Linked DNA regions of Coturnix japonica. The protein of the gene in region 2 binds, or shares a complex with, the protein of the main gene of each other region. Links are inferred from orthologs where the notes say so. Each region holds a gene or a part of one and is shown on either strand. Other genes may lie near its edges.

Region 1 (3,746 bases), on a different chromosome or scaffold from region 2:
GCCTCTGGAATTGAGCAGACATTCCCTTTTGGTTGAAGCTCCAGAACCTGCTCATGATCCTATAGCAGTTCAGACATGCTACCATTTTCAAAGGGTTAAGTCAGCCATGGCAGCTAAAACCTGCTGCTGTGCTGCTGGAATTGCTGCTGGAACTTGGAATGAAAGACCAACAACCAACCAACCATCCAAACAACAACGACAACAACAAAAACCAAGTGTGATGGGACTGAAAATGAAACAATACCAAAGATTTCAGTGCTTTCCCAGCATCTCAGAAGGCTTAATACCTCAAGAAATGGAAAACATAAGTCTGGTTGATAAGTGGGTATCCTCTGCCCATCTTGTCTGATTGTGACTTGCAGAATTGGATTTGCTTCTACCCTCAGTATTCTGTTGTTGTTTACTAAATGATCTCCCTTTGGACATGAAAAATGCATGATAGGGAAAAAAGCTAAAATGTCGAGATTGGTCTGTCCTGCAGAGCTATGTGGTCTCCCTTTATACCAGAGATGGAGAATTGGCTCATAAGCCTAGGAATACCCTTTTCAAGAGACAGGAAGTATGAAATGAATCAAGAGAAATGATTGTAAAGGAAATCTGGGGGAGGAAACAGGAAAATGGTAAAAGACAGAAATTAAGTGACAAAAAGAAACACCAGGTAGAAAACTTTCATCAGCACTGCTGCTGTCCTAAGAAAGAAGGTGAGCAGATTGCAGAGGAGGAAGTAGTCTTGCCCTACAAATATAGTGTGACAAACTTGTTCCTCATTGTATGGCGACAGAGCTACCCTGCTGCAACTTGAGGAGTCAAGGCTTTGAAGATAAACTCATGAGTGTACAAAAGTTAGTAATAAGCAGAAAAGTAAGGCTGAAAAAGAAGTACAATCATTTGGTATGCTTAGTATGCTTAGAATTAACACACGTCCCTCTTTCCATGAATGCACTCAGTCAAGGCACTACCACTGTGGACGCAGCTGAAGGATAGAAAGGGACAGGAGGCAAAGAGAAGGGCAAGGTGATGAGTTGTGCTGGGAGTCCTGGGGCCTTTAGGTGCTGGGCAGCAGTCGGACGCTGCCAACACCGTACACCCGGAGAGCCGCCATCACGGCCGCAACATTGGCTGCTGCTCCTGTCCATCATCGTTCGTCATCGCTGAGCGACGCGGGGCATGTCGCTGCCGGCTGCGGCCCGTGCTGCTGTCATGGCGGCGGCGCCCGGCCTGACGGAGCTCGGCGAGCGCTCTCCGGAGGCTGGAGCCAAGCTGGTGGCCTCGGAGGTGGCGAGTAGCGCCCTGCGCTCCCTGGCCGGGCTGGCGGGGCAGGTGAGTACAGGGTGGGAGGAAGGGAGGACCGGGGCCGGGTCAGCCGTGGACCCGCTCCTGCTGTACTCGCCTTTTTGGGCGGGCATCTCTGCTTCTCTGTCCGTGGGACTCTTCGGGGATGGGTTTAAAGTATAGGGAGAAAATTCTGCAGTAAGTAAGGGAGGCTGTCATGTCTGCAGGTGACAACGGGAACGGTGGGGTTGCGTGCGTGGTACTGTAGGCTGCTTGGGGTTTTAGTGTTGATGAATTATGTAGCAGATAGCGCGGCAGTGGTGGGAGGCTCTTATCGAGAGAAGCTGCCAGTAACAACTTAATAATTGCCATCAATAATTTACAAGTGAACTCATCTTCCTTCATGGAAGCACAGATGTCTTTCTGTGGAGGCAATAGAAGTGCAGTCGTGCTTTTGCAGTTAGATGGCAGTTTGAAGGTCTGGCGTCAGGTGGTGAGCTTGTGTCTTGGGGAGGTAATAGAGTTGATATTAGAGCTGCTGCATGCCCTCAGGAGGATTGCAGTAATTATGGAACAGAATAAAGGTTTTGGAAACACTGATATTTGGAGTGTGTTCTTTGTGTGACAACTTAAAGCCCTTTCACTGCATGCTGTGCTGAACGATGGGTGGGTAGGGGTTTGGTTACCTGTCTTAGCTGTTGTGACTCTTCAGATTACTCACTCAAAGTCATTTCCAGCTGTCCAGTTACATTCTTACCTGCCAGCATTTGAGTTCTGGTAGACTAGTGATGTTTTAGCAGCTTATCCTCTTCAGATATCCATCTTGCACTTCTGACTGATGCTTCTGGTCCCTTTCTCCCCTGTATTGAGATGGTAGAACGTTTGCCAGGTCTTCGTCTATCACAGTTTGCAATCTGTCATAGCAACTTAAGCAAGATTTATGCCATCAAGTTGCACTGGAAACAGGAAAAATAAATGTGTGTATATATGTATATATAATATATACACAATGTATGTATATATGAGCAATATATATTGAGCAATGACTTGCAGTGCAGTGATTAGAAGGACATCTGAAGATAACAACTCTTGAAACCAATATGGCAGATCCTGAAAAGTTACTTTAATCCCAAGGGATAATTTGTGAAGTTTATAAAACAATTTCAAAGATCAGGAATAACTTTGATGTAAAATAGTGAGAAAAATAAGTGTGCAGTGTTTGAAATGTGTTTGGTTGCAGGAGGAGTTTGTCCTTTACTTAACAGTGTGTGTGAGTTTATCCCCTGCCTCTAGATTCTAAGTCAGAAGGAATTGTTTTTCACATTGCACCATACGACTGTAGGATACAAGAAGGGGGCTTACTAGGCCATTACAGCAGGACATGTATTTTGTCTGTTACGGCAGTGTACCTCTGTAGCTGTTTATCCTATCAGCGCTCTGTAATGTAGCATGTATTACTCTCAAAACTTTGGGAGGAAATACTTGCTTCGGATAGTGCCCTTTAGATGATCGCCCAGTCACAGATGTTTGACTTGTAAAGTGAGGTTTTATTATACCAAATTCTTAATACATTCTTATGTTTCTGAGGTTTCATAACAATTATTTACTAAAACATTATTTTCCTTGCCTCTTATGTAGATTAAGTACTAACTAAGAATAATGTTTGTGAAAATTATCTAAAATACATTACATATCCAACTAGATAAAAACCATGATTCAGTTGTTATTTTGTAGTGCATTGGAAAACAATGCAAATCTATCCACTGTTCCCCTAGGTACTTATTTTTTTGTCTCTAAAGGCCAGTAGATCTTCCATCTCTTTTGCTATGTAACTGATTTGTAATCTAACACTGGATTTATCAAGGCTGATCTTTGACTAAAGAACGAGGGATCACGCTTGTCCTTCTTTATGTATGATGTTGCAGTATTGCTTGGTTCGAAAACTGATGTAGAGCAATTTCAGGTTCTGCTGCTTTGCCTTCAGTGTAATGGAAACATTCTTGATTTTATTTGTTTCATAATATGTTGTGCTATGAAACAAGTACATATGCATTCCGCGTTCATAATATTTGGTGCTGTTGCAAGATAGTGATTTTTAGACTATGTGTTCAAGGTCAATCTTATCACGGATGTGATACTTTTATTTATTTATTTATTTATTTTAATATGGCAGGAATGAGATGTAGATGTACAGATTTGCTTGTGACTTGGGATTCTGCATCCAAAACAGAGCACTTGTATATCCTGTTGATTTAAAACCGTTGTTTTATCTGTATTTATGATTTGGGAGATTGCTTAGGGGATATTTGGTTGGAAAACAACCTGTTTGGTGTGTGAAAATGGAAGTGTTTCTCCTTTACAACATCTTATCAGGAAAGCTTTAGTGTAATGAATGTGTCATAGAGCTGTGTGGAAGTACGTAATTAATTAGCGATTATTAACAATCAGTTCTGTATCAAAAAATTAAACTGAAT
Region 2 (3,746 bases):
GCCAGCACCCCACGAGCTGCGCCCCATTGCGATGCTGTTCCAATGTGCCCCCCCCTCCCCCATACCTCAGGGCCCAGCATGGCAGCGGGGTCGGTGATGGTCAGCATCACCTCGTTCACCAGCTCCATGGGGATGTCGCCCATCACGCGGATCCTCTTGGCATCCTCCAGTGTCAGGCTCTCAGGCAGCTTCCGTTTCTCCCCTGGGGCAGCAGCAGCTCGTCGGGCAGAGCCCCCATTGCTGGGCCGGAGCCGTTCCCATTCCCTGCACTGCCCTACCTGGCAGAGGCTCTGGCGTGCCAGTGTCCATGCTCGTGGCCAAGCTGCTGCTGCTGAGCTTCTTGCTGAAGAGCGGAGCGCTGGGCACAGTGACGGCACTGACGGTGGCTGCAGGAGAGCAGGCAGCCGTAAGTCTGAGGAATCCCCATCCACAATGCAGCCGTGACAGCACCGGCCCAGCCAACACCCCACGGTACCTGGACGTGACACCAGCTGGGCGCCCTCCGCAGCCGGCACAGTGAAATCTGCCTCCCATATGGGCGAGTTCTCCCCGTAGATCTCCTCCTCCAGCATGGACAGGAACCTGGCAGCAAGCAGCACACCGAGCTGGGTGCACACAGCTCCATGGGGAGCACAGGGGAAACGGCCGCGCAGACGGCAGCCCCGCGCCTGGCACCTACTTGGGGAAGTGGGTGAGGATCAGTGTGCGCTTCTCCGGCACCAGCTTGTCCTTCTCCACACGGAACTTCTCCAGCAGCTGCCGGCGGGTGACGGTGAAGATGGTCTTGAGGAGGCTGCGCCCAAAGACGTGCGTGGTCTCGTAGCGGGGCAGGCTGTCGCAGCTCTGCGGCACGTGGCAGTAGCACAGCCACCTGCGGGGGACAGTGCTGGGATCCCCCCTGCAGCAACACTGCTGGGAGACCCCCATGCAGAGGCAGCCCCCCCTCACCTGGTGTAGTTGACTTTGTAGGTGGCCACGTCGTCATTCTGCGAGCGCTGTCGGAACTGTGACGGCGTCTCCAGCTTCCAGTAGTTGAGGCAGAGCAGGAACATCTTGGAGAGCTCGTACATCGTCTGCCGCTCCTTGGGTGGGAGGTGGCTGAACTTGTACTGCACGAAGTTCAGGACCCCCTGGGGGAGAGGAGTGGGTTGGAGGGTGCCAGGGCCGGGGTCACTGCGCCACGGAGCCCAGCTGGCAGCAGGTACCTCCAAGATCCAAGCAGGAGGAATGGAGAGGTGGCAGGAGCAGAAGGGCCACTGCTGCCACCAGCACATACACACACACACACACACACACACACACACTCCCTCTTTTTCCACACAGTGACAAAGCTGAAAGCTCCATGAGTTTGCAGCACAGCACGTGGGGTCACCATGAAGCCAAATTGCTGCTGTGTCTGCTCAGTTCAGGGTTTTCAGCCCTGTCTGCCCACAGCCCAAGTCTCCAGCACAGCCCACAGCCGCCTCACCTGCTCGATGTTGGGTTTCTCAAAGGGGGGGCTCCCCAGGGACCCCTCGACCACCGGCTGGCTCATCTGCAGGATGCATTTCCTGAGGAGCTGCAAAGACCCCACGGGACACGTCAGCACCTCAATGCCCGCTCCCTTCCCAGGAGATCAGACACAGCAGCTCCGCAATGGGGCTGCACGGAGTGAAGCTGCCCGCAGGTGGGGCAGAGGGCAAACAGGACAGATGGACGCACCTTGAACAGGTAGAAATAGACCTGCTTGGTGTCCGTGTCCTCCTCCTTGTGCACCGACATGAAGAGGTTCTCCACGTCCACCACCATGCCCAGCAGCCGGTTGATCTCCTCCTCCGACACGTTCTCCAGGTGGGACACATGGTCGGCTGCGGCAGAGACAGCACGTGGTGAGATGGGGGTGGGCGCAGCGCCCCACGGTTGGGGGTCCCAGCGCCGTGCAGCCCCGGGGCTGTGTGCGGTTACCCAACGCGTGGCCGCAGCTGCGGCACGGCTCGCTCAGGTTGGTCACCGGCTGCTGCAGGTCCATGCGGGGGGCGGTGGGGGGGTTGGGGTTCTTCCAGCCGTTGCACTTGCAGGCATCGTTCGCCTGCGAGGAGGGACGGGAGAAACCATCGCACAGCCCCGCACAGCTCCGTACAGCCCCGCACAGCTCCGCACAGCTCCGCACAGCCCCGCACAGCCCCGTACAGCCCCGCACAGCCCCGTACAGCCCGGTACAGCCCCGTACAGCCCCGCACAGCCCGGTACAGCCCCGCACAGCATCACACAGCATCACACAGCCCGGCACATCCCGGCACATCCCGGCCCTCGGCGCCTCCGACCCCTCCAATCTCATCGTGCTGCTCCCCCGCCCCGCGCAGCCGGTTGCCCCGCGCCCACCTTGCAGGCCGAGAACACCCCCAGCTTCTCCAGCTTCTTGCCGCGGGGGAAGCCCCGCACCTGCGCCTTGCGCTGACTCGCCCGTTGCTGTTGGCTGAGCCCGGGCCGCGCCGGGTCGCTGGATCCCGCCCCTCCCGGAGCCGCCCCCCCGCTCCCCATCCCGCCGTTCGGCGGCGCCGCGGTTCCCGGTGCCGGTGGCGGCCTCCCGGGCTGCGCGGCCTCCGGCTCCGCCATGCCGGGCTCGGCGTGCGCTCCGAGCTCACTGCGCCTGCGCGCCGGGCACGCCGGGAGCTGCTGCGGGCGGCGGGGTGGGATGGGAACCGGGATACCGGGATACCGGGATGGGGACCGGGCAACGCACCGACGGAGGGGCGGGATGGCGGACGGGCACAAAGGAAGCGCCGCGGGATGACCATGGAGCCGCCGCTCGGAGCGCCCATCCCGGGGCTGCGCCGGTAACGCGGAGCCGACGCTCAGCGCGGAGCAAACGGGGGTCGCCGGCCCGGGGTCCGGTACCGGGACCGTGGGAACGGATCCGCCGCGCCGCCAAACACGGAGCGCGGCGTCACCCACAGCCGGGAAACAAGGAGCGGCCGGAGCCCGAATGTCCCGACACGGGGCGGCTCCGCCCGCAGCACCGGGGGGGCGGGTTTGGCCGAACGTCCTTCGCGGGGCGCCGCGCAGCGACTGGAACGTGCGAGCAGGGACGGGACGGGGCGGGGGGAAGTAATGGGGGGTGGGGAGGGGGGCGGCTGCTGTCCCCGCCCGGCAGCGCGGAGAACGTCCCTGCGCCTTCCCGAAGTGTCCGGCGCTGTCCCGGGGCGCTCCCCGTGTCCGTGTTGTTGTGCACGAGTGGCAGCGCTCCCTGTCCGTCCTCCTCCACCGGGGCGGGGTGAGGAGCTGCCGGGGATGCGCCCTTAGGGCGCAGTGCAGCTCCCGGGGTGACCGACCCGCCAAATGAACAAAGACACGAGCCGTGTATGTAAAAGTCAAGGAAGTTTATTACATATCAAAAATAAACCTTCACGCTTTGGCCACAGATCCCCCCCCGCACCGGGCTCAGCCCGGCCCCGCGCTGCTCCATCACGCCTTGGCTCTCTCTGCTCCATCCTCGGCGTTGGCCGCGGGCTGAGCCGCTGCTGCCGGCAGCTGGATGGGCACGTTCCTCTCGTTGGGTGGCGGCAGGGCCAGCCGGGGGGCCTCGATACGCAGCTGCCCCTCGCTGGACAGGGAGCAGGTCAGCGCCTCGGCGTCCACCTCCTCGGGCACGTCCCACTCGCGCTTCAGCACCTCGTACTTGTAGGAGAAGGAGCCCTTGTCGTCCGTGTTCTGCGTCTCCTTCTGCCCCACCAGCACCACCTTCCTGCCCACCACCTTCACCGACA

What was found. The genes of interacting proteins can lie anywhere in the genome.
Region 1: KAT2A (region 2) and MBIP share a complex: the UniProt entries of both Homo sapiens proteins name them as parts of the ADA2A-containing complex. The link is inferred for Coturnix japonica from reciprocal best matches to the Homo sapiens genes KAT2A and MBIP.

The regions. Positions count from the first base shown.
Region 1 is NC_029520.1:33,103,686-33,107,431, reverse strand, and holds the start of MBIP (MAP3K12-binding inhibitory protein 1), read left to right. Parts: upstream 1-1,146; 5' UTR 1,147-1,167; coding exon 1,168-1,320; intron 1,321-3,746. UniProt on the Homo sapiens protein: Inhibits the MAP3K12 activity to induce the activation of the JNK/SAPK pathway. Component of the ATAC complex, a complex with histone acetyltransferase activity on histones H3 and H4.
Region 2 is NC_029542.1:4,445,583-4,449,328, forward strand, and holds the start of KAT2A (histone acetyltransferase KAT2A), read right to left. Parts: upstream 2,623-3,746; 5' UTR 2,596-2,622; coding exon 2,362-2,595; intron 2,069-2,361; coding exon 1,945-2,068; intron 1,848-1,944; coding exon 1,702-1,847; intron 1,559-1,701; coding exon 1,469-1,558; intron 1,131-1,468; coding exon 949-1,130; intron 872-948; coding exon 680-871; intron 583-679; coding exon 476-582; intron 387-475; coding exon 279-386; intron 203-278; coding exon 66-202; intron 1-65. Other genes in the region: heat shock protein 30C-like, read right to left, coding at 3,445-3,746. UniProt on the Homo sapiens protein: Protein lysine acyltransferase that can act as a acetyltransferase, glutaryltransferase, succinyltransferase or malonyltransferase, depending on the context.